2 linked regions of the Mus musculus genome follow. The protein of the gene in region 2 interacts with the protein of the main gene of each other region in a pairwise test. Links are inferred from orthologs where the notes say so. Each region holds a gene or a part of one and is shown on either strand. Other genes may lie near its edges.

The links.
Region 1: the proteins of Flacc1 (region 2) and Sult2b1 interact in binary tests that used the Homo sapiens proteins (3 or more experiments, as listed by UniProt). The two-hybrid records come from large-scale screens. The link is inferred for Mus musculus from reciprocal best matches to the Homo sapiens genes FLACC1 and SULT2B1.

What each region holds. Positions count from the first base shown.
Region 1 is NC_000073.6:45,739,679-45,743,644, forward strand, and holds the start of Sult2b1 (sulfotransferase 2B1), read right to left. Parts: upstream 2,801-3,966; 5' UTR 2,683-2,800; coding exon 2,376-2,682; exon of another isoform or gene 2,284-2,375; intron 1-2,283. UniProt on the Homo sapiens protein: Sulfotransferase that utilizes 3'-phospho-5'-adenylyl sulfate (PAPS) as sulfonate donor to catalyze the sulfate conjugation. Responsible for the sulfation of cholesterol.
Region 2 is NC_000067.6:58,668,490-58,671,989, reverse strand, and holds part of Flacc1 (flagellum-associated coiled-coil domain-containing protein 1), read left to right. Parts: intron 1-1,522; coding exon 1,523-1,620; intron 1,621-2,509; coding exon 2,510-2,562; intron 2,563-3,500.

The DNA of each region.
Region 1 (3,966 bases), on a different chromosome or scaffold from region 2:
CTGTACAGATGGTTGTGAGCCTTCGTGTGGTTGTTGGGAATTGAATTCAGGACCCTGCTCGCTCAGGCCCAAAGATTTATTTATTATTGTATGTAAGTACACTGTAGCTGTCTTCAGACACACCAGAAGAGAGTGTCAGATCTCATTACAGGTGGTTGTGAGCCACCTTGTGGTTGCTGGGATTTGAACTCAGGACCTTCAGAAGAGCAGTCAGGGCTCTTACCCGCTTAGCCATCTCGCCAGCCTGATCTGTGAGCCTTTTAGGGGATATACAATGACAAGAGCCCTCCACCAGGACGTCTCAGGACCTCTTCAGTGAAGCTGAATCTGGAGACAGGAGCAAGGAAGTCCCGCCCCGCAATCCATGGCTGCGTGTGTGTGTGTGTGTGTGTGTGTGTGTGTGTGTGTGTGTGTGCGCGTGTGTGCGTGTGTGATTTTCCCTGCAGAGGGTGGGGTCACTCCTGTGCCGGCTGCCTCTCTATGCTCTTGAAACCCTATACTGGGGACCTCATCATTGTGACTATTTTAAGTTCCAGGTTGAGTTGGCAACATTTAAAGACAACCATGTTGTTTTGCAATAGTCACGCCTGTCTTGACACCCCCCCCCCAAAAAAAAAACAAAACAAAAAAACAAAACAAAACAAACTTGTCCTTTTTCCAACAGAAACTGCAATCCTTAAACAAATGCCCTCGCCAGGCAGTGGTGGCGCATGCCTTTAATCCCAGCACTTGGGAGTCAGAGGCAGGTGGATTTCTGAGTTCCAGGCCGGCCTGGTCTACAGAGTGAGTTTCAGGACAGCCAGGGCTACACAGAGAAACCCTGTCTTGAAAAAACAAAAAACAAAAAAACAAAACAAAACAAAAAAATGCTCTCATTTCTCACCTTAGGTAGGCCCTGCCCCACCCACCCTGCCCCCATCTCACTCCTGTTACCGCCCTAGCTGCTCCCCCCCTCCCCCACCAAGCATGGCTATTTTAAGGGCCCCATGTAATTCCTTTTGTGTCTGGCTCCATTTTTTTTAGCATGATATCTATAAGGTTCATACTTGTACTCGGTGGGGTGAGTTAGGGCTTTTTTGGGTTGGTTTGTTTGTTATTTTATTTTTTCTTGATTTTGGTTTTCTGAGACAGGGTTTCTCTGTGTAGCCCTGGCTGTCCTGGAACTCACTCTGTAGACCAGGCTGGCCTCGAACCCAGTCTGTACCTGAGGATGACCTTTAACTCCGACCCTCTTACTTTCCCCTCCAACATGCTGGGATTACAGATGTGCACCATGTAGCCAGCCCTCCTAGTTCGCCTCAGCTGCCAGCACAGCCCAGAATTACCCAGATCTCAGCTGAGCTGGGGGGTTGACTCCATTGGTCTGAGGACATGTTTGTGATAGATTGTCTTCTTTTATCATTGTTTATTTGTTTAAATATGTTTTTTGTTTATTTACTATTTGTCTCCCCATGTAGCCCTGGCTGGCCTCGAACTCACCTGCCCCTGCCCTCTTAGTGCTGAGATTAAAGACATATGCTGCCCGGGGGCACACTCTTGATAGCTAATTGATAGAGAAGGTCCTAGCCCACTCAGGGCAGTGCCCCTCCTGGGCAGGGGCCTGGGGTTTATAGAGTTAGCTGAGCAAGCTCTAAGGAGCCAGGCAGTCACAGCAGGATCCTGTGTGATTTCTGCTTCTGTTCCTGATTGCGTTGCTTCTCTGTGATAAGGCTGGGGCCTGGAAGTGTAAGCCACACAGGGCCTGTCTTCCTTCGGTTGCTTTTGGTCAGGTGGTCTATTACAGCGACAAAGAGAGAAGCAGAATGCGCAGTGGCTTTCCTTCTCTGTGAAGACTGTGGAGTAGTCTGCATGCGAATTCACACGAAATGAGGAACCTCCTCCACAGACACGCGCGGTTCCGAGAACAAGCAACAGCCAGGGCAGACAGAGCGCTCAGAGAGAGCCAGATTAACCTTCCAGTGGATAAGCAGAGGTTTACCCAGTGACACTGTGCCCAGCAGCACACACCTGCCATTCCAGAACCCGAGACACTGAGACAGCAGGACCAGCTGAGGTTCAAGGCCAGCCTGGGCTACATGAAAACCTTTCTCAACAAAAATGAACAAATTACCCAGCAAACCATGCGCGGCTGGTGGCACTCAGTGCTGTGAAGGCTTGGGAGACAGGGAAGGATTGGGGACACTGTGGCAGCCCTAGAGGGGAGGGGACATTAGCTAGGCCTTCAGAGTCTCCCTGGAGCAGGGACTTAGTGCGCAGTGCAAAGGAAGGTACTGTTAGCAGAGGACAAGCTGCCGGGTTCTGCAAAGCAGGCTCCTCCCCTTCCTCCTCCCTTCTCTCCTCCCTTCCTCCCCAGCCCAGACTAGCACTACCGGTACCTGATTTGGGGTAGGTGACAATGAAGATGTCGTCGTCCCGCACGTTGCTAGTGTTCTCAGCCAGACTGAGGCTCTCCGGTGAGTACATGCCGACAGGAAAAGGGATACCTTTGTATCTGAAGTATTCACCTCCAAAATTCCAGCTGAAAGAGGGGAAGGGCACGTGTAAAGAAGACCAAGGAGGTGGGCAAGAGTCGCAGGGCCCTCCATTCACACGCCAGTGAGGAGTGTCCTTTCTCTGAGCCCCGTGTGTCCACCTGAGGAGTAGATCCACTTCAACTCCACCACAGCAGTCCCGTGATGTCATACTGTCGCCCCCACACTATGGGTGTAGAAAGCTGAGCGTGGAGGGTGGGAGTGACTCGCCCAAAGCTACGCTTCTGGTAGGAGGAAGGGTACTTCATGTCTGCAAAGTGGAGCTAAGTGTTCTCCTTATGTCTATTCCACATCCCAACCCTGGAGGGCGACACCACGTCATCAGGCCATTTTCCGAACGAGGAACCCAAGCCAAAGGTGGCAGGTGCCCCCGCCAACGCTGCACGCTGCAGAGCCCATGTGAGAACCCACGATGACTCACCGAGAAGCTAAAACGATCTAGCTGTTTGTCCCAAAGCCATGACGCATTTACGCAGCCACGAAACCGAGTTTCCAAAGAGAAGACTGAACCTAGACCTTTCAGAATGGTGCAAGAAGTGGTCCACTACGGAGCCCCGCCCCATCCCCCCCCCCCCCGCACTGTGAGCCCCGCCCACAGCCCTCTATTAATTTGTTGGAGACAGAGTCTCACTAAGCTGTTCTGGCTGGTCTTGAACTTTTGATTCTTGTGTGTCAGCCTCCTAAGTAGCTAGGATGACAGATTTGGGCCACCAGGCTCATGTGGGACACATATTTTATCTACTGATTTTTTTGTACTGATGGAGCTTGAGCCTTGATGCTGACACATTAGGCTATCACTCGACCACCACGCTACAACCCTTGGTTTCATGTTTTGAGGGAAAAGGAAACCACAGCATATTGCTTTGTTTTGAAGAAACGCACCCACTAAAAGTTCCTAAGAACAGCCTGGCTTCTGGATGCCGCATCTGCTTCGTTCCTCTGACTGGTGGGACCTCTGTGAGTGAGACCAGTGGATCACATCACGCTGGTCATTCCCAAAGGCTGAGACAGGAGGACAGAGAACTAAAGGCCAACTCCAAAAGTACAGGGAGATTTGGACTCAAAAAGGAAAAGACACTGGGGTGTGGTGGCGCACACTTTAAGTCCCAGGCAGAGTCAGGGAGATCGCTGAGTTTAAGGCCAGCCTGGTCTACAGAGTGAGTTCCAGGACAGCCAGGGCTACACAGAGAAACCCTATCTCGGAAAAAAAAAAAAAAAAAGACAGGGTTTCTCTGTGTAGCCCTGGCTGTCCTGGAACTCACTCTGTAGACCAGGCTGGCCTCGAACTCAGAAATCTGCTTGCCTCTGCTTCCCGAGTGCTGGGATTAAAGGCGTGCGCCACCACGCCCGGCTGAGAAACCCTGTCTTGAAAAACGAAAAAAAAAAAAAAGAAGAAAGAAAGAAAGAAAGAAGAAAGTTTGTAGTGGTAGAGCCC
Region 2 (3,500 bases):
CAGGGTTTCTTTCTTTGTAGACCAGGCTGTCCTTGAACGCACAGAGATCCACCTGCCTCTGCCTCCCAAATGCTGGAATTAAGGTGTGTGCCAGCCACCACGTCCAGCTTGCTTTGTTGTTTTTATATTACTTTAAAGTTTTCAAGCAAAATTACCAGGAAGGTACAGAGCCCCCACATATCCCTTGTGTTCCACCCTATAGCCACCCTCGCTTTCAGCATCTCTGAAAAATGTTTTATGTGTTACAATTGATGGGCCTGCATTGGCACATCATCATCACCTGCTTGGAAGTCACTCCTGGTGCACAATATTCTATGTGTGTGAAAAATAAGTGTGTGTGGACGTGCATTCACTGTGAGAGTGCTGTACACAGTGGTTTCACTCTCTTAGTATGTATGCTCCAGTTCCTAGTCCCTCCATAGTCCCTCCCAAGGCAATGCCTTGAAACAACTGTCTCCATAGGCTTTCCTTGCTTGATGTTGGAATAACATCACATACGTAGTCTTTGCAGAGAGGCATTTTTCCTGTAGTAACGTGTGTTTCGATTTCTCCCATCTGATTTAAGCCTTTGGGCTCTCACTTTAGCACTCAAACACTATCAGCATATAAATCCTGGGATGGGAGCTAGATCTGGGGTTCTAAACTATTCTGGGTGCTTCTATAATAGAGCTGTAAGTAAAAACTATTGACTAAGAAGAGAGTCTGAGGTGCTTGCCTGAGCACTATTCAAAGAAGGGACTGTAGGAAACACCTCACTCAGAATAGAAACCATAAGAATACTCTAGGACATGAGGGCTCCACCTTGGTAAGGAGTGGGAGGGGGAGGGCAGGTCAGTGCAACAGCTCAACTCTACACTGTGTGTGTGTGTGTGTGTGTGTGTGTGTGTGTGTGTGTGTGTCTGAGTGTGTGTGTGTGTGTCTGAGTGTGTGTGTGTGTGTGTGTGTGTGTGAGTGTGCATGAGACTGTGTGTGCATATGTGCATAAGTATATGTATGCATGTGTGTACAAATGTGTGTCTGGATGTGTGTGTAAATGTGTTTGAGAAAGTGTATGTATATGTGTATATGAGTGTGAGTATACATGTGTGAGTATGTGTATGTATGAGTGTATGTGAGTAGGTGTGCATATGAACATGTGTGTGTATATATGAACATGTGAATGTGTATATGTGAGTATGTGTGTGTATTTGATCATGTGTATGTAGGTGAGCATGTGTGTGTATATATGAGTATGTAAGTGTGTATATGTGTGTGTATATGTGAACATGTGTATGTGAGCACATGAGTGTGTATATGTATGTATATATGGATATGTATGTGCATATTCCTTCTCCTCCTCCCCTCCATGTGCTTGGCCTCACTGTGTTTCTGTGGACCATAGAAGACAGCTTTTGGAAGCAATTCTTCCCTCCACTATAGATTCCAGGGATCAGATTCAGGTTGTTAGGCTTTCATGGCAAGCACCTTTACCTGCTGAAACAGCTTGTTCATGCTGAACTTCTTTTCTTGGATGGTCCCACAGGGAACTCAAAGAGACTCACAGAGAGGAGCTCGAGAGGTTAGAGAACAACTACAAGGAGGCCCTGAAGGCAGAAAAGGCCTTGGCCGAAGAGAAACTAGGTACTGTCGGGCCCTGGGGGGATGCTGGGAGGAAGGTGGACAGCCTTCCCTGGCATCCCTATAGCCATGGCTTGGCACAGCCAGATGTCCAACATTTCCCTTCTGAGGCTTAAGGCATGAGAATGACTGAGAACGGAACTGCTTCATCACTGAAGCAAGAACGTGAAATTTTTTTAAGTGCATTCTAAAGTTCTAAAACTACAATATTACTATGATGCCTTCAGGTTTTCTTGCATGGAGAATGGCAGTGATCTCTTGAATGCTCACTGGGCTACTGTGATTGCAAGGCTCTGTAGTGCATAGTGCTATGCTGACAGAATCTCACTGTTTACACTGCTCTTGGGGAAAGCAGAGTGTGCACCCTTCAGATTTGGGGTTTATAGACTAATGTCCACAGAGAGAACGAGACACTCTACAACCTTCTTCCTCTGTTTGAAGTTAGTGTCTTATTTACACTTTGCTTGTTTTCTAGTTTCCTGAAGAGAATGTGTGGTTTTCATAACCACTGTAAAGGAGGAAATGATACAAAAAGGAGAAGCAGATGCATTGTGGGAGGTTCTGTTCCTCCTTCCCATAGATACAGATGACCCTCGGGGGTGGGGGGAGGTTGTCTTACTAAAACAGCTGAACAGAGTGTGGGAACTCTGAGATCTTGGAGAAGCATGTTTAGAAAGTACCTGGCCTCTCTCCCAGAAGCTCTTCATCCATCGGTTCAGGTGGGATACAATAACTGATAAGATTTTTGATAAGCTTCCAGAGCGACTTGGGAATCCCAAGACGGTTTCATCACCTCAGGGAGAGCTTGGGTGTGGAGCTGAAGAGTTCATGTGAGTTTTGGAAAGTGTGCCCACCGAAGGAATAATGACATCCTTGTTTTCTTTTCCTCCAGATAAGATGAGCAAGGAATATAAGTATCTGAAGAGTATGTTCCATGTGTTTCAGGTGAGATTCCAAACTGTATGGTAGGCTCTGAGAGCAAGAGAGGTGAGGCTCCTTCCTGGCTGAGAACTTGAGGATGACTGTAGACCTGGAGAGATTCTAATACTTCCATCCACAGTGTCACTGCTGTGCCCAGCAGGAATGAGTCCAGTGGCTTCCATGTTTGCTAAACCAGCCATTCAACTCTGAAGAGGCCTGTTGAGAAGATGGTGTAACAGCTGTTCACTGTCTTCTAAAAATGAAGACTGGGAGGGGGGTTAGGGGCTGGAGAGAGGGCTTGACAGTTAAGAGAACTGGCTGCTCTTCCAGAGGCCCCAGGTTGAGTTCCCAGCACCCAAATGATGGCTCAAAACCACATGTAACTACAGTGCCAGCAGACCGAACGCCCTCTTCTGGCCTCCTCAGGCACCAGTCCCACAAACAGTGCACAGACCTACACACCGACAAAAATACTTACACACATAAAACAAGACTTTTTTTTTTAAGTGGAGCTAACCACCAACAGTTACATGGAAAAGAAGAAATTGTCACTCACCAGAGGCACCCATGCAAACTGCAGTACTTTGTTGAACCATTCACTGAGCGAATCTACACTTGTATCCTCTTTTCTCTTGGGCACTTTAGGTCTTTCCCTCCTTTGTTGTGACTGCCTCTGTGGCTTTGGGATATCACTGTCCCTTTCCCACTGACCACGTGCTATTAGAGTCACTCCCGGTGACAGAACACAGAACTTCAAACAGTGGAGTACTGGTCAAACAGTGGACATATTTAAGGCCTTTCAAAGATTTGATCAAATTGCCATCCAAAAATTTTATCTCATTCCACATTCTACAAGCTGAGACCTGAAGCCATTTCCTTTCATCCCTGTACCAGTTGGGTTTGTTGTCAACTTGACACAAAATGGAGTCATCTGGGGGGAGGGAGCTTCGTTTGAGAACTTG